Drosophila melanogaster: one gene and its partners. The protein of the gene in region 3 interacts with the protein of the main gene of each other region in a pairwise test. Each region holds a gene or a part of one and is shown on either strand. Other genes may lie near its edges. The genes, in order: yuri, CG18754 and Rbp6.

Evidence for each region.
Region 1: the proteins of Rbp6 (region 3) and yuri interact in a two-hybrid assay, tested with the Drosophila melanogaster proteins (one large-scale study listed by BioGRID).
Region 2: the proteins of Rbp6 (region 3) and CG18754 interact in a two-hybrid assay, tested with the Drosophila melanogaster proteins (one large-scale study listed by BioGRID).

The regions. Positions count from the first base shown.
Region 1 is NT_033779.5:15,258,070-15,267,456, forward strand, and holds the start of yuri (yuri gagarin), read right to left. Parts: upstream 6,159-9,387; 5' UTR 6,058-6,158; coding exon 5,701-6,057; intron 5,596-5,700; coding exon 5,263-5,595; coding exon of another isoform or gene 5,170-5,262; exon of another isoform or gene 5,098-5,169; intron 5,060-5,097; coding exon 4,901-5,059; intron 4,734-4,900; exon of another isoform or gene 4,558-4,733; coding exon 4,306-4,557; intron 4,236-4,305; coding exon 4,001-4,235; intron 3,944-4,000; coding exon 3,843-3,943; intron 3,772-3,842; coding exon 3,649-3,771; intron 3,569-3,648; coding exon of another isoform or gene 3,392-3,568; exon of another isoform or gene 3,140-3,391; intron 1,675-3,139; exon of another isoform or gene 1,285-1,674; coding exon of another isoform or gene 1,282-1,284; intron 1,223-1,281; coding exon of another isoform or gene 950-1,222; intron 870-949; coding exon 713-869; intron 641-712; coding exon 435-640; intron 373-434; coding exon 104-372; intron 37-103; coding exon 1-36. Other genes in the region: Cul3 (cullin 3), read right to left, coding at 8,305-8,457, 8,527-8,665, 8,727-8,950, 9,076-9,218, 9,284-9,387.
Region 2 is NT_033777.3:23,681,153-23,687,675, reverse strand, and holds CG18754 (uncharacterized protein), read right to left. Parts: upstream 3,620-6,523; coding exon 3,547-3,619; intron 3,329-3,546; exon of another isoform or gene 3,293-3,328; coding exon 2,971-3,292; intron 2,496-2,970; coding exon 2,262-2,495; intron 2,197-2,261; coding exon 1,800-2,196; 3' UTR 1,391-1,799; coding exon of another isoform or gene 1,315-1,390; 3' UTR 1,139-1,314; downstream 1-1,138. Other genes in the region: SPE (Spatzle-Processing enzyme), read right to left, coding at 46-355, 572-964, 1,315-1,390; CG16710 (uncharacterized protein), read right to left, coding at 3,792-4,221, 4,294-4,906, 5,098-5,173; eIF3d1 (eukaryotic translation initiation factor 3 subunit d1), read right to left, coding at 5,536-6,090, 6,167-6,459.
Region 3 is NT_037436.4:17,234,238-17,240,570, forward strand, and holds the start of Rbp6 (RNA-binding protein 6), read right to left. Parts: upstream 3,976-6,333; 5' UTR 3,595-3,975; intron 1,826-3,594; 5' UTR 1,201-1,825; coding exon 1,115-1,200; intron 1-1,114. Other genes in the region: Afg3l2 (AFG3 like matrix AAA peptidase subunit 2), read right to left, coding at 4,874-6,333. UniProt on the Drosophila melanogaster protein: RNA binding protein that regulates the expression of target mRNAs at the translation level. May play a role in the proliferation and maintenance of stem cells in the central nervous system.

The DNA of each region.
Region 1 (9,387 bases), on a different chromosome or scaffold from region 3:
ATCTGTTCCTGCTGCTGGTTAACTTCGGTCTGTTGACTGGCGGGAAGAGAGAACATGGCAGCTGCTCTTATATGGATGCACTCTATCCTGGAAAATTACCTACTTTAGGCGGATCTGCATTTGCTGGCAATTTTCCGAAATGGTGCGCAACTCCTCCCGCAGAGATTCAGTTGTCTCGTTCATCCGCTGGATACTTTCGCGATGCCGGATGTCATCCAGCTGCAGATGGCTCTGCATTTTCCGAACAAGAGTGCGCATCTTTTCCATCTCCAACTGGGCACTCTTTTGTTGATCTTGAAGTGCCCGCTCTCGGCCCGAGGACACAGCCTCCTTCTCCTTCAAAGCGACCACCTCCTCTCGCAAGATTTTGCGCTGAAATTCATAATACCTCAGTTTTCTTTGTGCCCAAGGACGACAATAGTCGGATACGCCACCTCTGTTCTCAGCTCATCCTGCAGCTGCTCCACCTGATCCAGTCGCGTTTGCAGGCTCTGCGCTTTCCTCTTGGCGTCCTTGAGCTCCTGGCACTGATCCTCGAAGCTGGCCATCAGGCTTTCGTACTTCGTGCAGAGTTCCACGCTTTGATTTTCTTGGTTTTTCAGCAGGGAAGGGAGGTCTCGCAGTTGGCGGGATAGATCACCTGATAGTATACATATATATATATATATATATAGAAAGAGCTTTTAATTGAAAATTATAAGTTTTCTCTCACAATTCTTCTGTTTGAGGACATGCATCTCTTCTTTGAGCCGATTGTTCTCGCTGAAATCGGAGTAGCTATTGATCATGGACTGCAGCTGGCTAATCTGGTTATCTCGATCCTTTAGATTTTCCTGCAGTCCCTTGATTTGGCAGGAAAGTTGTCCGTTCTGGTGGGGAAAAAAGTGGGCGAGAAATCAGAGAAACGATTAGGAGCAATTTGGTAAATGTGTGCTTTAGTGGATCCAACTTGTATCTCCAGTTCACAGTTGATCCGTGACTGATCGACGAAATGGAGCTCGGGCTCTGGGCAGGATTGGCTGGCTAGTGAGCTCTGCTGCAGCTGCTGCTGCTGCTGCTCCACCTGTTCGGTCAGCTCCTCGAGATCCCTTTTGAACTCATCGATGATGCTGAGGTAATTATCCCGGGTGGCCTGCAGTAGATCCGACTCGGTCTGGCAGTGGAGCAGCGTGTGCTCCAACTGCTGGCGGTGGGGGCAATCGGTGGAGCTGTTGCCTGTGTTCTACAAATTCAAATTGAGTTGTGGCTCACTTGGTTGGTACCGCTATTCTCGAGGCTTACCATGGCCACTCGGAAATCGGTAACTAATTGCCTGCAAATCCGCGCACGAAATCACCTGTCAGTTGTCAATTGTCGATTGCAGATACGCGGATGTACATATCTATGTGTTTAAATCGTTTTCGGTGTCGAATGCCTAGAAATGGAGCCTTCGTGCCGCCGAGCTTGCAAATATATCTCGCAAATATGACCCCCAGACGAATTTTGGCTTCATTACCGTTTCATTTCATTTCAATAATATTGCTATTAAAAGTTTGTCACGAAAATAAAACCAATTCGAAACGTAGGAGGTGGCAAGGTTTCGGGTTTCCGGTTTCAAAGTTTCGCTTCTTTGGCACTTTGGCAACACACAAGTTTGTTGGGTGCTTGAAGGGGTGGGGGGTGAAGGATGGTTGAGTGGGGGGGGGGGGGGTGACTTCCCCTAGTTTTATAGATATTATTATTTGCGCGGCCCGACTGTTTGACACGATTTGAAAATAAAGTTAGTTGCAGCGGGTGGCAGCGAATAGTATTATATCGTCTGTCTATTTCTTGGATACGATAGATATATGGATATTTATGAATGATGAGTGGAGGGGAGTTGGGCGAGCGTGGCTCGGCGCACTTAAAACACTTTTAAAGGCATATTATATTGCAGTGGGTGGGGCGGGGGGTTAGTACTACGAAATTGATAGCTCAGGCTCGGGGAAATGTGAAAATCGATTGGGACGGGGGCAATGAATTCTTATGATTCCTTGTCTGTCATTAAACCCATTAGCGGAGCCCAACAATTCGCTTTTCCATCGGCTCCATTTGCACATTTACGGTTCGCAGCACCAACTTTCTTCACTGCACTTCGCGTCCCTCTTTGCGAAAGCACTCGAAAACAATTTGCACTTTTGGCCAACTTTCTCCTTTCTAATTGCCCGATTTTCCTTTCGTTTTTCGCGCCGAAAAGATAATCAAATCGACGGAGCGCGACTTAGGCGACTAATTACGCCTCGTAAATTGGCTGGCGAGGATTTGGCGCGTTATTCCTGGCGCTTCCTTGATTCGCTTCACGCGACTAAACGGCCAAATCCGCCGACGGATGACAGGATTCTGAAGCGAACTGCTCCCCTGCTGGGGCTTCCTGCCGAGTTGTGTTTGATTTTGCGCCCGACAGTTTCGCCAAAGAGATGATGGCGTGAGGGGTGACGACTTTGTTTATTGTTCACACCTCGGGAATTAGTCATATCTAAATAAACATTTATTTAGGTAATTACTAAATATTTGTATTTGCACTGAGCTCAATTTAAGTTGGTTCGGTATTATGAATTACTTAGTGCATACGATCGAGATCGATGTAAATGGTCGTGGTCCTTGCAGTCACGCGGATCACGAGCAGTCCTAGTCAGTGAAGTCCCAATCCCGGCGGCACTCATCAATATGCATATCACTGCTCGCCGGAATCGCGTGTCGATTGTGGGTAAATAAATAACACGAAACCTATTTCCGATTCGCCAGCTCCACTGGCTGGAGGGCAGAAGGTGCTCCCCCCTCAGGGGCAATTGCAGTTGAACATACAGCCGAGTTTCCACAATAAACACATTGGCGAACGATTTGTATTTGTCGTATGTAGACATTTGCCCGGCGGGATGAGTGAAGTGGATCTCTTTCTTTTGTGTCTGGGCCCAATATATATATATTCATATATATATATATATGGGTAAATAAATCGGGGACTCGAATGGCAACAGTAGTTCTTTTGTCAATCCAGCCAGGATTTACCGAGTATATACTGTACCGAGTATATATGTGAAGGCGAATGTCGTTTACCACATAAGAAGAAAGTTCTATGTGCTGAAACGTAAATCGGAAATGTATTTCAAGCTCATAATTTGGTTGGGATATGAAAGAAACTTTATTTAAAACTAGTTCATTTCATTAAAACTATTCATTTCAGCAATCTGTGATTCTAGTTTCTGTTTAACCATATATAGATAGATATAGATTTGAGTGGAGTTGAGTTTTCGTGGCGAACAATCGCGATGATAAATAACTTAAGAACGACAAACTTTAAGCTAAACTATACAAACTTCTTAACGTGGCTTAGATTAGACTAACTGTTTAGGAGGCCCAACAAGTGACATAGTTACTTGGAGGTCCTAAACGTTGTAGTTGTGTTTTTCGTTGGTATAGTTTTAGTTGTCGTTGGCTTGTTTGAAGGTTTAGGTGTTGGTTGTTGTTTGTTTGTTTTTGCCGTGGCTCCCGGGATTTTGGTGGTTTTGGTTGGCTTCCTTGTTTGGGAAGGTGTTTTCGTATCGCATTCCTGCATTTGATATGACAACCGGGGTTATTGGAATCGGCTATTGGTTATTTGCGATGCAATCAAAGCCGTCAGATACTCACAATTTCCACTTGATTTTGCTCCTGCTCGAATTTCCGTGCAAACATATCCGCAATGGTCGTACAAAATGGATTTTCTTTCGAGGATTCGTCGTAGATTTCGTTGTAGGAGAACTCCTTGGAACCCTGAAATGATGCACATATTTTTAATATGCATTTCCTGCAATCCTGCAGAATAGAGAAGAGTCTTAACTCACCAACGAGCAGATGAGTTCGGCGATCTCCCTTAGAACATCGCTATTTCTTTGAAGAACGCTGCTTTCCGATTCAATCCTCGCCTCCAGCTCTGAAATTTTGACTTTTTGCAAATAGGGAAATAGTTATAGCAAAAGTATCGAGAATCGGATATACCCACTTTTCGACTCGGTGTCCAGGCGCTGGTACTTTCCGTGCAGTTCTCGATTAAGTTGGCTAAGGTTGAGCAGGCGTCTACGTAGAGCTTCCAGCATCTGAGCATCCGCGTCCAGATCACAGGGCCCTGATTCGGGATCAACGGAGATTAGGCAGGATTGATCGAGGTCTGACTGAAGGATTGTCAGATGACTACGAATGCTCTCGAGTTTTTTCAGAGTGTCCTCACGCTCGGATACCTTTGATTAAGAAGGGTGTAATTAATGAGGATATGCTAAAGCTCAGAAATATGTAAGTCGAATCCCTCACCAGTTTTTCGATAAAGCAGGACACACGTTTTCGCCGAATCTCAATGGTCTGGAACTCCTGTTTGTTGTGCAGATCGAGAAGATCATTGAGCTCCGCGTTTAGCAGCCGCAGCATTTCGCTCTCCTGGGTGTCGTGGATCGAGAGATTCTCGAGCATATCGCTTGTAATCGCGTCCGCGGTCAGTGTATCGTTGGGCGATTCCTCCATTTTGGCCTGATCTCTGGACTCAATGCACCGGGTGATCTCGTGCAGCTGTTTTCACGGTATTTGGAATGTTAAAAAAAAGCTAGTTAGAAAGTTTCGATGTGCTTTTTGATTGAATACACTGAAAATTTTACCAAGAAATTCGGTATTTCACTAAAAAGATACTCGATTAGGTTTTCGATTGTACGCTTAAGCAGCCGATTAAGCGATAAGAAAAGTATTCCAATGAATCTATAATTAAACTGAGCTCAATAATGAGTAACGTCACCTGACGACGATGATGTTTTTGTTTTTTGTTTTTAAAACAACGAATTGAATAAATTCCTTCCATAAGCACACAATGCACATATGCAGATTTCTGGTTGAGTAATGCCACAATAGGATATCTCACCTGTTGATTGAGCTGTGCTATGCACTGATCCTTCAAAAGTAACTTCTGCCTGGCCGTGTGTACAACCTCGTCCAAGGCATTGATCTGTGACTTCAGTTCGCCGATCTCGTCATGCTTGGCGGCTATCTCGCCGACTAAGGACTTCATGCTCTCGGACATCTGCGAACAAAGTTAAACGCCAATCAAAGCCAAGCATTAAATATCGATGAACAAAATATCAAATTTTATTAAGAGCAGCACAAAATATACGTATTTAGTTAGCGAGACAATCATTTAGAGTTCTCGCGCTTGTGGGACGACTTCGGGTCCCACTTGACATTGGAATCACCGCCGCCTTTTCCCTTCAAGGATCTATGGCCTACCTTCTCGCTCTCGCATTCCGCGTGGGCGGGATCCTTTCCCACGCCCCGCAATTGATTAACGGTCAGTGTCTCTAGGGAAATGCCATTGAAATCAAAGTCGGTGCAGTGAGGAGAATGCTGCACGCGTTCTATGATCGCACAAATGTCCTCACGCAGCCTACGATTCTCCTCGAGGGTATGCTGTTGTCGCACTTGGACAGACTGACAGCAGGCAACGATCTTGCTGTACGCCTCCTTCTCCAAGTCCGACACGTTGCCCAGGATCACGCTGTTCACGTGGAGCAGGAAATCCACCCACTCCTGAAAAGTGACCAGACGCAACTGGCAAGTGTGCTAAAAGGGTATGAAAATGGGTCATATAAAATAATTTATCTCAAGGGGGATTTTGCTAGGAATTAGTTTCAATGGATACCATCCTTGATTTACAACGAATCTCACCATGTCATCACCCTCGTGCTCATCTAGGCAGTCAATCTCGTCCAGCCGCTTCAGAAATATGCTGTTCAGCTCAAAGCTCATATCGCCAGCATCGCCGTTGGTATCCCGCAGCTTCTGGATCAGACAGCGGTAATGTTCGGTGGACATCGCCTCGGTGCTGGCAGTGCACCGATCAGGAGATGAGGCTTTTAGCGTCGATTCTTGATGTGGATGCGAGGCACTCGTTCCGGTTGGCTGCACTTGCCGACACATTTGACTGGCAGATGATGGTGGTGGCGGTGGCGATGATGCAGGTCTCGACGGATTCAGACCCATGGACTTGGCGTCTAGGACGAAACCGGCTTGGCGACTGGCCATGATATCAATTCAAAATGTAATTACCACGTTCTTCTTACTAAGAGCTGATTTAGTCGGCCAGGGAATAGCTTGTGTAATTAGACATGAGTATGACTTTAAGGTTTCTACATCGAAACGTTCACTTCGAAAGCGGCAATCTCAAGGCACTGCTGATCGGAAAGATCGAATGCAGTTCTCCTCGCCTTCAACTGCACGCAAATCGCAAATCACAAATCACTCACGAAAGTACAAAAATCACAACAAAAAACACTTGTAAAGTTGTAAGCTTATTAAAAACAACACAAAAATGGGCGGAAAAAAAAATAAAAAATAGAGAAAATATATCTGATTCGAACCTTGGCGGCGACGTCAAGAGCAGCTCAGCGCGCTGCGTTCATATCTTTTGTTTGCAGTCTTCTGACGTAGCAATGTAGTTTTGTTTATTTATATTTTTCTTGTTTTTGAGCTACACACACGCGTATTAAGTATACGGTTTCAGCATGTTGTTGTTTTTATTTCTTGCCACGATCCAAATACCGCGCGTTTCGTCTGCGCTCCGTTCGCGATCGCCAACGAAACCGAACTGAGCGCTCCGCTCCACACACTCGCTCCCCACCACCACCGGCCAAGAGCGGCTCTCTAGAGAGTTGAAAAACTCGACGGACTCTCAGCGCTTATCAGTGCGTCGGGGAATCGAATTGGATCGCTGCGTGTGTTTACCCAAGAACTTAGCATTCTGAATTTCTGGCCGGGCTCACGATATACATATGTATGTATGTATCTTACACAATATGCGAAAGTCATCGCTGTTTGCCCAAGTTGCGGTTTCGGGGTTCTGCCAATTTCGTATAATTGTTAACTCATCCGGTGTATATTTGCCCATGGATAAGTTTGTTTGGTCGCATTGATAACTCCGATATGGTCGTTCAACGCGGTTACACAATAGCTGGAAAAAAGCTGCAAAAACCATGAATTTTAAAGATTAAGAACTAAAAAATTTCGAATGATTCAGAGAATGATTATGCCAATCCTTAAGTCTTATTGCCCATCCCAAATTTTACACGATTAGCACAATATGTTGGGCACCAATTGAAAACAGTAGATTTTTTGCAGATTTAAATTGTTACCAAGTTCGTTTTATTGTACAGGCGAATAAAAGCATTTCATTGAAAATATTTTAAAATCCTTTTAAAAGATAGACAACAACTGTGTTAACGCTCATTATACGTTTTATTTATATCGATTTCTCTTTTATGTAAGAACAAAATTTATTTACAGTGTTTAGATCGCGTTTGCTTGCTTCCGTTTTCGTGCTTTCGGTTCGGCGTTAAATTGTTTTTCAAAATCAATTCTATGTGTGTCCTACTTAACTCAAATCCATTACAGAAGTGTTGCCTACATATGCCTGGAATCGATTCCCACATATCAACTAATAGATAAAACAACTTTTTCGTACAGATTATCATAATCACTTCACGTTGCTTTGGGCGTACACAAAAAATGAAGATAGAGGAATATGAATAGTCATTGCAATCCTTACGTTCTGTTCACACGCATCTCAAAACGTGGGATGAATGTTTTTATTTGGATTGAAACAGACGACGTATAAATGTACATCAAACGCTCTCTAAAATTCATAATTCATTTATAAATTTATTACTTTAGCTATATTTATAGTTATTAATATTTTCTTGCTTATATTTCTGTTGTTGCTTCTTTACCTTTTTACTCAGCTGCTTACAATTAGGGGCTGCATTATGCATTATTTCTCTTATCTTGCTTTGCGTACGATTCTTGTGGGTGGATGTGGTGTGTGTGGTTGTGGCTCTGAATGGGGTGGTGGTGGAGCAGGTGTGTATGTGGTTGTTTGGGCTTACTGCTATACACTTGTTATGCGCAAAGAAATGACCATAAACAGTAATTAGAGAATATCAAGAAATATATTAGAGGGATAATAATTATGGTGGTGCCTTATCCAATAGCATTTTTAACTGTTGAATTTTGAATGTCAGGCTTACAAAATGGGTTGCGAAACGAAATTTTACGATTCGGGGCGCACTAATTGATATATTTATGTATTCGGGTTATTGGCTGGCGGTCATCTATAATCGTGGTCAGTATCCGCCATATCAATGCCGCTCGTATGCTCAGGCCATTCCGTCCGAGCTGCAGATTGTGTTTTTCAGTTAGTGTGCAAGCCCTGGCGATTTGAAGATGAGTGTGTTCCGGATCCTGCTTAAGACGCTCCTGCTACTTTTTGTGGGCCGCTTAGGCCAAGTAGTTGTACACTTTGCGATCTTCCGGCGATCGTTGCAGATACTCGCGCTCGATTAGGCCCTCAATGCGCTTTTTGATAAACACGGGCGAGGGCAAGAAACGCGACTTTAGCTGCGACGTCACATCTGATACTAGCAAGTTGTGCTAAGAAAATAAAAACAGGAATCATGGTTAAATCACAATCCAACCAGATAGCAAACGTATAATACTTACAGCCAGACGCTTGCGGGCCTTCATTATGCGCACAATAGCCGCTTCGATCTCGTGCTTACGATCCTCGTCGACCTTTCCGCGCGTTTCCTTACGCTCTGGCTCTGATTCTCCCTTGGCGGCTACCGTTTGTATCTTCACCCTAAAATAGTTTCGATATTATTACCAGGCGCCGTTCTTTCGCACTGAAAGTAATATCTAACCTGTGGAACTTGGAGTTGAAGGCGTCGTTTACGTAAAACTCATCCGTGGGCTCAATGTCCTTAGTTTTCGTTTTAGAATTGCGTACTAACAAACGCTGAGCGGGTTTGCCCATGGACAACGATTGTAGTGCTCGGACGAGCTCCCGTTCCGGTATATCGGTCTCCTGGTGTATGTCATCGTAGGTGAGCACGTCGCGGTTATTAAACAGCAGTAGCACACACATCTAATTTTGGATTATGAAATACATGTTAAATGTTTAGTTAAATATTTTTTTCAGATCAATGAAATAAAGCTGCTTCTGCTAAATAAAATTCGGAGGTGTACGAACTAAAAGATATTTTAGCTTACCTGGTACGTGGACACTTGCAATATGTGCTTGCGTGTGGTGGTGGGCACCCCACAGCCGCTTGAACTGGAGCTGGGTGCATCTTTATCCTTTTCACTTTCAACTGCCTTGCGGCCATAAAACACAGCGTTGATATAGGCGGTTCCTATTCGAAGGGGAAGGCATAAATACAGTAGTTGCTTAAAAAAGAAGATCATTTAAGTAGCTAACCCATTTGTGGCTGTAACGTCAATTGACGTCCTGAGTGCTTATTTAGATAGAAGTTCTTGAAAATGTCAAAGGCTTCACGCGGAGCGGCGGGTATATTGCAGTTC
Region 2 (6,523 bases), on a different chromosome or scaffold from region 3:
AAAAGCAAGTCAGTGGAATAATTGAGGGATCTCTGGACCACATACCTAACAATCCTCTTAAGGCGCACCAACGCAATGTCATTACGCTGATCAACGGAATTGGGAGCATACATCTCGTGGATGATGCCCTTCTCGACCTCAATGTCGATGTGTTTCGGTGCACAGATGCGCTGTCCGTTCATCTGGGTGGTGCAGTCAGGATCGGTACGAGTGTCCCACTCCCCCAGGCGAACGCTGTGTAGAACGGCACCGGATTTGTCCAGTTCTCGGCTGGCCAGGCAGTGTCCAGCGGTCAGGACGTAGCGCGAGTTGAGCAATGCACCGCCGCAGTTGAAAGTGTAGGTTTCAGAAAAAACTGAAAGGATAAAGAGCGTTTCCCAAGTACATATTATAAATTGATTAGATACTAATAATAGCCTTGTATATATTGAATATGCGTTTTCTTATAATGATGATCCCCCCATTGGAGAATTTGATTTGAAAAAGTGATTAAAAAATGATTACAGGTGACCTCGTGAAACAACCTTCCTATAAGAGATTAAAATAGAGCCTGGGTAGGTAATCTACTCACGTTTTTTGTACTGCAGCAATACCATCCATGGGAATTCCCAGAGGGTCGTATTGGTGCCCCCGAAAATGCGATCAGCGAAAAGGAAGCCGCAGACGTCATTTCCAGGCAGCACATCCCCCTGCTGCAGTGCATCCCTCGTCGAAGGAGTTGGTTCCGAGTCCATGATATTGCCCCGCATGCTCTGCGGACAGCAGACCAGGATTCGATTCACCAAGCCCTCAACCCTGTTGTCCAGGCCACACTGGCTCTTGGAGAGAAGGATTCGCTGGGCGGGAGTCTTTGGCTCCACCATCAGCAGGTTGGCCAGGTAGGGGCAGCTGGTGATGTGAACGCACTGGCCGCGCTCATCGCTCTGCTGGGGCGTACAACTGCCAAAGCTGATCTCCGCTGCGTCTGGAAGAGAAGAGCGCGATTTACGATGCAGTCTAACCGGTTCTGAACCAATCCATTAAAGGCAATCCATTCTACTAATGGACTTCATGTCTAATATTTCTCATAAAATTTCTTAGTCCGGGAAACTATATGTTGATATTTAATATATTTGAAGTTTTCAAAAACTCTTTGATTATTAGTTGTTATGGTTTTTATTCTCACAATCAACAAGGTCAAGTGCTTAGTTTTTCTAGCTTTATTCAAACTATATACTATACTATACTATATATATAGAACTATATACTTTTGAAAGAAGCACCATTGCATCCAGTTGCTGTGGATATTGTTTGCCCAAAGGACAGCTTACCCACCTGATCGATGGACCAAGCCGGATAATGCGCTGACCACCAGTGACAGTAGCAGAAAATTCCGTTCCGTAGAAGCCATCTCGTCGCTATGGGCTCCAAGCTGATACTAACCAAGCTGTCCGGCAGTTTCGCTGTCACCGATTCTCTCCCGATGCATTGGGCGTGATTAGCAGAGGTTATCTCCGGACTCAATACCATCTAGATTGCAACAAAGGCAAAAGCTATGTGAATAGGGTGGTCTTTCCCTGCCTTAATATTTACATAGTAGTTCTGCTGAGCTGGGCAAACCCAGCGGTGTAGTTATTAGAAATTTATTTATGCTTAATCTTCTCTCGGCACGTTATGTTTTTTGAACAACACGTTTTTTAAAAAACAATCTTCAGTGCTTTTTCTTATCTTTTGGGGTTTTATAGGTCTATTACTTTATAGTAGTGGATTAATGGAACAGATGCTATTCCAATTTTGCAAATATGAATTCTTTATTAAAATTAGGGAGCCAAATTCGCTTTGATCCACTCCGAAAAGTGGCCAATTTTTGTGTAAACACCTGGAATACCAGCAGAGTAGCAATATTGTTGTCCATATGAGGCAATGCCTGCCAAAAAGACGAACTCGTCGACGCCGCTTCCCATGATGCCCATTACCGGACTGCCGGAGATGCCCGCACAGGTGTCCCCTTTCCGTTGACCACCGGCGCATACTTGGGACGCGGAGCGAAAGCTGGGATACCTATTCAAGCAATCAGCAGGATTCCTTTCCTTGACCGTGCTGGTGATCAACGTTTGACTGCTTTTAGTCGGATCCCAGCCAGAGATTTGCAAATTCAAATCCTGTAGGGGAAATTCGGCGTCCAATAGACAAATGGGTTGGATCTTTTTCGTGTATCTAGCGGGTTTGTAAAGAAATTTCCATAAGATGTGGAGATTAGGGTGGAGATCACTGCTACTCACCGCACTGGGAATTGCAATCGGAGGAGGGCGATGTCGTTGCGGTAAGTTCCGCCACTCGAAGTGAAACCCTGATGTACTGTTGTTTGCCCCACCTCCACATCCAAATGTGGACACCTGCTTTCCGAGGTGATGCAGTCGGTAGTGGACTCGCCCAGGCGCACACTCTTCAGAACCAGGTCATTCTGCGTCAAGTAACCACCGATCACGCAGTGGGCAGCGGTCAGCACATAGCGACTGTAAAATCCCAAATGAGAAGACTTTACTCGTTGAGTTTTTGTAAGAAACTAATTTTATTTGGAAATATCTTCGGTTTAAATAGGTGACATGAGAATCGCATCTTAAAGTAAATGGCCTACGCAGAGGCCTAAGTAAATAGTCCCCGCCTTATCGAGGTCCCACGCTCGGGCACATCTGCCTATCTTGAGCGGCGAGGACCTTATCTGTGGTCTCCCACTAAGGGACTATTTTAGGAGGCGGGGAAAGATCTCAAGTGACTGACTCATGTAGTGTGCACTTAAATTACATGTTTTTGAGCAATGCACCCATGTCGCCTTAGATAACAAAATCCTAAATATAATTTATCGCTCTCGATTCATTTACATAAGATATGAACGGAGCCCAAAATTGTAAGTCTTTAAATATATTCGTGTTCATGTGTGAACAGCGACTGTTGATCAGTGAGCCCGCACAACCAGTTCGTTGATTCCACATCAAGGATAGCCGATTCTCATATAACAGCAATACCATCCAAGGGTACTCATTAAGCTCTGCATTCTCGGCACCCCGATCTCGGAACACGGGCGTCGTTTGTCCACAGGTCTGTTTGTTGGGCAAGACGTCACCCAACTCTGGGCAGCAGACATAAACCATGTGCAACAACTCGTGTCCATTGGGGTCCAGGCCACACTGCCTGTGTGCAAACACATCTTTCTCCGCCTGGGTCATGCCCCGGGGCCTAAGGATGTTCATAAGCGGCGAGCAGCTAACCAGTCTGGTGCATTTCTCATCCTTTTGGCAGCTTGATAACCGAACTATAAATTACAAAAATAGATAAGTGAAAGCCCCGATAAAGTATAGCAGTACGAGTCTATGTGGAAATATTATTATTATTATTATTTTTGAATATGATTTATAATAAAACGGATCGATGGATATGATAATTTTTATAATTCATGGGGTCGAACGTGACCTATTCACAGCACACATCCTCTGCAAGGATATTATTGAGCAAGATATAACATCTTCGGTTTTTTACGAAAACTTAAAAATCATTGCTTTTGCTTACCACACTCAGCCAATTGGTTGAAGAAAATGGCCTGGAGAAGGACCAAAATATAAACTTTACGTCTGTCCGACATGCTAGACATCCAAACTCGATCTGACACTAAATATACAGAATAAAATGGATCAACAAACTCATAAATCCCAATGACTCAATGAAATTTCCTAATTTATTTTTGCGATAATTTGGGCTCAGTGCCGGACAATAAATATTTCTTTTCTTAACCAAATTCTACTATTTTGATTATTTCATTGGAATATATTAGTGTACATGTTCCATAGAATCCATTCAACGAATTTGGATGTCTTTGTGTAAGCTGCTGGTCCGTATCCGCACTGACTGTACCCGTAGGATGTGATTCCGGCTAGATATACGAATTCCTCGTCACCACGTTCCATGATGGCCATCAGCGGACCGCCGGAATCGCCCTTGCATGTGTCATTGCCTCCCAGGTTGCCGGCGCATATGTGGGTCTCCTTGTCCAATCCCAAGGATGGTTCACTCAATGAGCACTCGTCCGCGTTCCTGCCATTGACATAGGCCTGTAGCAGCACATTGCTATAGCCCTGCTTATGAGAGAGTCCCCAGCCAGCTATTTGCAACTTATGGTTGCTGAAGGACGGATTCGAGAAGATATAGTCAAGTTGAACACAGATGGGTTTGATTTGAGCGGTATAGCTAAAGACATATGAAATGTATATATATATATATATATGTAGTAAAAGATATGACAGGTCAAGTGCAACTAACCGTACTGGAAACTTCAATCGCAGCAGGGCGATGTCGTTGTAGGGCCTTTCCTCGAAGACCATGTAGTGCCTATGCTTGATACTCAGATCGACGTCAATTTCCAGATGCTCTGGAGCGCAGTGTTCCCTACCATTAATATGGGTGACGCAGTCGGGATTGCTTAAAATGTTATGCTCGCCAAGGCGCACCCTCCTGAGATCCAATCCCGTTATCCTCAGACAATGGGCTGCGGTCAGCACATAGCGGTTTGTGATCAGGGATCCAGCGCACCTGGACACGAGTCTTTCATTCCACACCGAACGGCTGCGATGCGCATATAGAATCAGGGCCATCCAAGGCAACTCGTTGGGTTGCGTCTCCTCTCCTCCGAAAATTCGATAAGCCGGCATGATTGGTCCACATATCTGGGTATTTGGCAAAATGTGTCCCATATTTGGGCAGCAGATGAGAACTCTGTCCAATAATTCCTGCCCCTTGGGGCCATAGCCGCAATATCTGTCCTCGAATACCGCCTTCTCGGCTGGCGTCATGTTGTGGGGCTTCAGAAAGGGCAAGAGTGATGTGCAGCGGGCTAGACTAATGCATTTCTCATCCAGATTACAAGGCGGATATTCTGATACAGTAAAGAATTGGATATTAATAAATATTATATTATGTGAGTCATTTTAATTGGATGTTTAGATAATGATTGGACGAAACAAAGCTATTTATATTTTAAAATTCAAGGAAATACCCATATCCAAATGAATCATTTTCTTGAATGTTATAACGTATACAATGTGGAGTACTTGCAACATATATTACCAGACTCAGCCAGGTACATCAGCAATTGAGTATGCAGGACCAGGAAGGATATGTACACTCTTTGTAGGAAGACCATCTTTAACCGTCAGAGTTTAAACAATGTCTAAATCTTAACTAGATGCCCGACACGCACAATCAGCTTACTATATATGAGTCCGGGAAATGAGTCAGTCATTTACGTACAAGACCTCGGTGTTTCAGTCGAAAGTTTTTATCACAAGTACCCGGCATTAGACCTGGACCAATAAAAATTCATGTATTGTTTCGCCCTCTGTGATTTACTAGGAAATATCTGAATTTAAATCGAATACAAATGCTTAAGCTAGGGCCTATAACATGACCTTTTCCTTTAGAGGACATCAGTTGTGGTTATTCTTAGCGGGTTGTGGCAAAAGAGCCCAAGACTGGAAGGGATGCAGGAGTAGGGGGGCGTGGCGTCTAAATCTTGTTGTGCGCGTAGTTGTAGACCTGCTGGAAACCTTCGTCATCGCCCTCGCCATCGTCCGAGTCATCGGAGTCGAAAGTATTGTCTGGGATGTCGTACAGACGGATGATCGGCTTGTTGGGGTCCTTCATGATCAGGTATTTGCCATCCTTCTGCTTCATCACCAGATCGATGATGCATCTCAGGATTCCCCAGGCGTTGTCCATGCTCAGGTTGATCTGAGTGGCAAATTCATGCGGCTTGAACTGCTGCGTGCCGAGGATGACGTGACGCGAGTGATCTCTCGGATTGATACGCGACACATAGCCGAGCTTTAGCTGATCGGACCCGGCCAGGACGGCCTGCACAGTCCACTTGGCCAGCTTGCATGCGTTGTTCCTCAGCTCGTTGGCGAGCACAGCACCGCGCTGCGTGTCCAACTTTTGACGCCATTCCACGCCATTGGCCAACTTCGAGTCCCACTCGTTGAGTGCCTTGATAGTCATGAACTGCGGCTCGCCGCTTGGCGTCTGCAGGACACCATCGTGCTCGCAACGCGCTACCAGGACCTAAAAGTATAAGACAATAGTTTAACATAATATAGAAAAATATTCCAACTTTAAAGTTGGATTATGCAACACTTACAATATCGCTTCCCAGCTCCCACTTCTTGTAGCGGTAGCCCACGCTGGCGACTTGGATATCTTCGTCCTCGCTGATGAAAGGGTTGCTTTCCTCGAACTTGTATTTGGGTTCCTGGTCTCCAGTCTTAAGCACCTGCTGGCTAAAGTTGTGGTTAATGAAAGTCGCCTCGATGGCCAGGTTGCGAGGGGAGTTGCATGAGCTGTCGTCGTCGGTCGGTGGTTCCACGCTGCTCTCGTTCACGGTCAACAGATCGAACTCGGTGTGGTCACGCTTGTCCATGAACACCTTGTCGCCTAAAATAAGGTTACAATTATTATTTATTTCTCTTATTATTATTATATTTCGTATTTCATTTAA
Region 3 (6,333 bases):
TTATTACTTAATTTAGAGTATCAATTTTCATTGAATAGGAGCCAATTGCCAGATTCAATTTGAAAATAAAGTTTTCTGTGAAATAGTTCACCTTTTTGTGAATTTCTAATCATCATACATCTTTTTTTGGATTTCCATTCAACTGAAAATATTACATTCTATGCGAATTCGAACAAAACGACGAGAGCTCCCTATTCAGTAAATTGTTCACTTTATGGGCTGCGTCAAAAGTCCGCTCCACCACTACCTTCAATCAGTTCACTTGGCTGCCAATTACCGGATCATCCATTTGCTAGTCCGACTTTCTGACAGCCAAACTGCACCCCCGACCACCAAGGAGACTACTGCAAACCGATGCAAATTATCAGCAATGCAGCTCGCAATTAATCTACTGCATATGACACCGCAATCACAACTTAACCCATTTTGGCACAAGTATAAATTTTGAATGAGGGGCTGGGAAGCTGGAAGCTGGGGAATCGGACTGATAATAAACTGTTGCCGGAAGGATGAAAGCGAGTCGAGGGCAGCAACTGCATTGCACTAAAGCACTAAGCCGAATGGCTTTAATTGAATTTTGATGTCCTTGGCAAATTGTTTTCTAATTAGTTTCGCAGACTTGGATCCCCAGCTGGGCCATCGTCCATTTCTGGCCGCTTTCGGCCAGTTCCGGACCCAGTTGACATAGAAAACTTTCTGTCAACAACTATAACTGCCTTGACACCGCTCCCCAGGACACGCTCCATTCGCTTCCGGCGCCCTGCGCTTCAATAATGACAAACTTAAAACTTAAACAATTAATGCCACGTCCATGACCTCAAACTAAATAAAAAAGTTCTCGTCCAACTCGACAATGCGAAGTTTGAATGCCCTTTTCTCGAAAAATCTAAGTTAGGGTCTTAGGAAAATATATTTTAATTATGATTTACAGAACTGAAATATAAATTTCGCACATCCTTTTAAGGATGGTGATTTTTAGTGCTTGTAGAGCGAAAGTAATATAAATAAATCGAAGTAAATCTTTTTCTTCTCAAGTTGATTAAAATATATTCTCTACTTTCTGAGATACCCTTTCGCTAGGGTATACATGTACATATAAGAGCAGCACACTTACCCGGGATCATTGGGCACCTCCGAGGGGGAACAGGGTCCCAGCTCCACTTGCTGTTGCTGCTGCTGCTGCTCAATCTTGATGTCCATGTTGGGGGTTTTGGCTCGGGATTGAGATTGAGTTGGAGCTGGAGCTGGTGATTGGAGTTTGCAGTTGGGGCTGAGCTGAGCTGATGTGGTCGTCTGGCTGTCTATTCTATAATTGTTGCTCCAACGCCTTCTGTGCGAGCATCGAGATGCGAGGGGAGGTCGAGTGGTTCTGTGCGGCTGAGTGGCTGTGTTACTGGGTGTTATGTGTGGACGGGGGATGCTGCTACTACGAGTTGGCTAACAGAGTGTTCCCTTAATCATTGGCCACGATGGCTGCTAGTTGGCTGTTCGATTGGCTGCCGGATTCCTTGTTTTCCATTTGGCCTGGCTTTGGTTGGCTTTCCCGCTGATTTTCCACGGCTTTTCTCCTGCTCTAGTTATCGTTTTATTTAGCTTGTTAATTATAATTTGGTTACATTGCACACATTGAATCACATTTCTTGGTTGTTTTGGTTGTTTTGGTTGCTTCGTTTTGCAGGCCACTTTTGGTTTGGTTTAAATATTATTGTGTATTTCGTAACTATTATTTCGTTTGTTGTTTAGACTTTAAGTTTTAGAAACGTTGCGTTAACTTTGGTTGTTGGTTTCCCAATTGATTTGAAGGCAACATATTACTGCAAAAGATCTGTTTCGTTGTGTTTGGTGAAAATTAATTAAATTGCAATTTTAAACTTTGCCCAGGGAAACTTTTGAAAATGCAATTTTCCCCTTCACTCGCTCCCCCTCGCCACTCCTCGCTTTCCCACCCATCCGCAGCTGCTGCACCACCCCCACCCACCCCCTAAAATGCAATGATTCGCAACGAACAATCGTAAAATGCAAAAAAGTGCAACCGATGTGGGAGCGATAGAGAGAGAGAGGGAGGAAAACCGTGGAAAAGCCAGGTGAGGAACGGGTGGGAAAAGGGGGGCGGTTAAGTAACGGCTGAGTGACAATTGGGATGCGGTACTAAGACTGTAAAAGATCTTTGTTTGAAATAAATTTGACTCACTTTACACATATGGCATGAGCCATCAAATTAATTTTCTTAGAATAGGCGTCTCATAAAAAATTAAGAAAACTAAATATAAAAGGTTAAAGATCCAAATGTTTTTCAAAAATTATAAGTATACGTGTTTACTTATTGTGAGCTTGTGTAATAATTATAAAATTCCAAATATTTAGTAAAAAGCTCTCTACTAATTTCATAAATTCCCATCGTTGTTAAATAATCTGAACGATTTTTAACATTAAAAAGGTTTTAAGTGACACTTTTTTTTACGCCAGAAACACCTTGGTTTCCCGAACAATTTTTCGGAAATTCAAAAATGCTGGCATCCAAATTTTATAGCTTTGAACTTTTGCTTGTTAAAGCAATTATTTTCCGTTGCTTTCTCTCCGAAATTATTCGCTTTCCTATATTTTGTGTGTGTTCTTTTTTGCATTTTCTGTGCTTAATACGCGCCTTGATTTTTCCCACACCCACAACAGCAGTAAAAGCAACAACAAATAATAGAAAAAGACAGAGATAGATAGATAGGGAGGTGCGAAAGGGCAAGAAGAACATTGCATGCAGTGACTCCCTCAACAAAAATTACAACAACGCCAGCAACAATATAATAACGCGCAGCATGCAAGCTTTCACGAACAGACACGCACACACACAATCGTACATCAGCACACACACACCCGCACAGGGAACATGCACCGTTACAACGAGAGCAGAAGTTAACTGGCGGCAGCAACAAACACGTGACCCGACAATTGCAATTGCGACAATTGGCAGCACAAAATAAAACAAAATAAACGATAAACTAAAACAGAGCTAAGAGAATCGCCGACAGGGGGCGCTCGATTGATCAGTAATCGAAGTTACCGTTACCGATGTCAGCCATTTTATAAAAGTGATCACAACGAAGATCTCTAATAAAAGGAACGAAAATATTAATCAAATTTAAATTTTATGTAATACACGTGTTTGTTGATTGATTTTACACTAATTGATAAGAGATATTTTGCTTCCTATCTTAAAGCAGAATAAATGCAAATGGCAAAACAAATTTAAATATAATTTTCTTGACAAAATAAATAAACATTAGCATTAAATTCTCCTCCTTGTTCTGTTCATCCTAATGGTCACCATTTGTCATAAATACATAATTTTAATTTTCTAAGAAATCAAACAAGAAGCCTAAAGGAAAGTCTCAGGAAAAATAAAATCCAATAAATCAAACATGAAATCGCTAGGGATTCTCTGCCGCTCTCTTTCTATCGATCAAGTATGGATGTTGCCGTTATTTTGCCGGCCGGCAGCCATTTTGCAGGAAAGATCAACACAAACGCAATGTGTTAGTGAGTGTGAGTGAGAGGGAGGGCGGGGGTGCGAGGGAGAGGTTTGCGCTTTAACTCCTCTACTTCAGCGGTTATTGTAGTTGATTGCAATTAAAATCGAATGCCGCGCACTGTTACTCGTTTTCCCTATTTTTTGTATTTTGTATTTTATATTATATAATCGTCAAATTGCACTCCACACAGCCATCGAGGTAAACAAAATGCAAAATGCCCTCCACAGCAGGGGTTTTCCTTTCGGGCCTCTCGGTTATATTGGTTTGGTATCTTGTACGCGATTTGGTAGTTGTTTTGGTTAAAACGCACGCACTCCCACGAGCGGTACGAACAGCTCTGAAATCGGGCGACTCGAGAGTAATATAGAAACTGCAACGGTTAGTGCAACGCTGGCGTTCCGCTTTTCTCAGTGCGCGCACACGAACGCGACAACCAACAAGACGACACTGAGCGGCGAGACCCCAAAACCCAACTGACGGCCCCAAAACGACCGGCGGCAGCGACGTCGACTGCACTGCTGCACTCTCTGCCTTCGCTGCTGTTGCTGCTGTTGTTGTTGCCGCTGGTGCTGCCCCTACGGAGCTTTGCACCGGCAGAGGCGCCGACTGCGGCAGTTGCACTATTTACCGGCTGCACATGGCGCATGTACTTCAGCATCACAGCTGATAAGTGATAAGCCGCAGCGAGGAAGAGTAGCCGGCGAAAGTTTGCGGAGAAAGCTTACCGAAGAGAGCGGCACTCTCTTAAACCGCGTGCAGCTTTAAAAGCTCACACTGAAAAAAATTTTAACCTGGCACTATCAGTCAACTTAAGAATAAAGCTGGCTATCCCAAAGTTAAGAACAAATTTTGCATTCCAATGTTATCATAACATTTTATTGTATGAAATATACATAATGAAGCAATACATTGTATGTATTTTGCAACTTTTGCTGTTTTCGAAAACGGGTTTAAACCGTAAGGCAGTAACAACACTGATTCGATTATTTTTCGCCTTGATAACATCGTTTAATTTCGCTTTTCCACACTGACAGGTCATTTCCATTCTTTATTGCCATTTTGAAACTACGCATACGGGGAATTTAGTACAGGCTAGCACTTAATTGCTCAACACGGGAACAAGTTATCCATGTGGGTATCTTAAAATTATGCAAAAACAATAATGAACGCGTCGTGGAGAACTGTAACTCCAGAAGGTCTAGGAACTCCTTGAGCCCTGCCTTCTCGATCTGCCACATGTCGGGGTTTTCTCCGGTCCGCGTTTAGGGATTACAACAAAAACAAACAGATGTCGGCACCCTCGAACTACCACACCAAAACTCCCCATCCACATGAGCGAAGATCGTTGCCTAACTGCTCTGGGCAGTTACGGGCTTGGTGGGCGGCGATGATGGCGTGCTGCCAGCGTCCAGAGGCTCCGTTCGTTCCTTTTCCTTGTTCCAGCTCTTGAGGCCTTCGGGCAGAGTGGTGTCCTCCTCGAAGGAGCCGGTACCCTCGACGAACTCCTCGTAGGTTGACTTCTCTTTGAAGGGTCGTGGGCCCAGCAGCTCAATCATATCATCACGGCTGAGCACTTCGTTTTGGAGCAGTCTTTCCGCCACTTTTTGAACATTCTCCTTGTGCTTGGTCAGCAGACTAGTGGTGGCCTCGTGGGCACATTTGATAATCGACCTCACCTCGTTGTCGATCAGCTGCGCTGTGTCCTCCGAGTATGGTTTGCTGAAAACGGGATCACCGGCCTGGCCCACATCGAAGCTGACCTGCCCGACCTTCTCGTTCATGCCGAAACGCACCACCTGGGAGTAGGCAATATCGGTGATCTTCTTTAGATCATCCTGAGCACCAGTGGTAATGCGATTAAAGAACAGCTCTTCGGCCACACGTCCGCCGAGCGTCATGCACATGCGATCGAACAACTGCTCCTTGGACAGCAAGTAGTGATCCTTGGGCAGATACTGGGCGTAGCCCAGACCCTTGCCGCGTGGTATAATCGAGACCTTCAGCAGGGGATCTGCGTGCTCCAGGAACCAACCGGCCACCGCATGGCCAGCCTCGTGGTGTGCCACCGTTCGCTTTTCCTCCGGCGCCAGAACATTGGTCTTCTTCTCCATGCCAGCGATAACACGCTCAATGGCCTGCTCGAAGTGCTTGAGTACGATCGAATCCTTGGAGTCGCGGGCGGCAATCAAAGCAGCTTCGTTGCAAACATTCGCGATGTCAGCGCCTGTGAAGCCTGGTGTCAGTGCAGCCATTTTTCTGCTCAGCTCGTTCTTGTCCAGCGACGTTTTCAGGTTACCCAGATGCACCTTAAAGATGCTCGCCCTGCCCTTAATATCAGGTGCTGGTACATAAATCTGTCGATCGAAACGACCTGGTCGCATGAGAGCCTTGTCCAGAATATCAACACGATTAGTGGCGGCCAGTACGACCACATTCGTAGTGGTATTGAAGCCATCCATTTCCACCAGAAGCTGGTTAAGGGTATTCTCTTGCTCCGAGTGGCCACCGAAGGTCTTGCCACCACGTTTGCGACCCACAGCATCGATTTCGTCGATGAAGAGGATGCAGGGAGCATGCTTTCGGGCCATGGCGAACATGTCGCGGACACGAGAAGGTCCCACGCCCACAAACATCTCGAGGAACTCGGATCCCGACACGGTAATAAACGGTACATTCGCCTCGCCGGCGGTAGCCTTGGCCAGTAGCGTTTTACCCGTTCCGGGTGGGCCAGTTAGCATGGCACCCTTCGGTATCTTGGCGCCTAAATCAATATACTGCTGCGGGTTCTTCAGGAAGTTAACGAACTCCA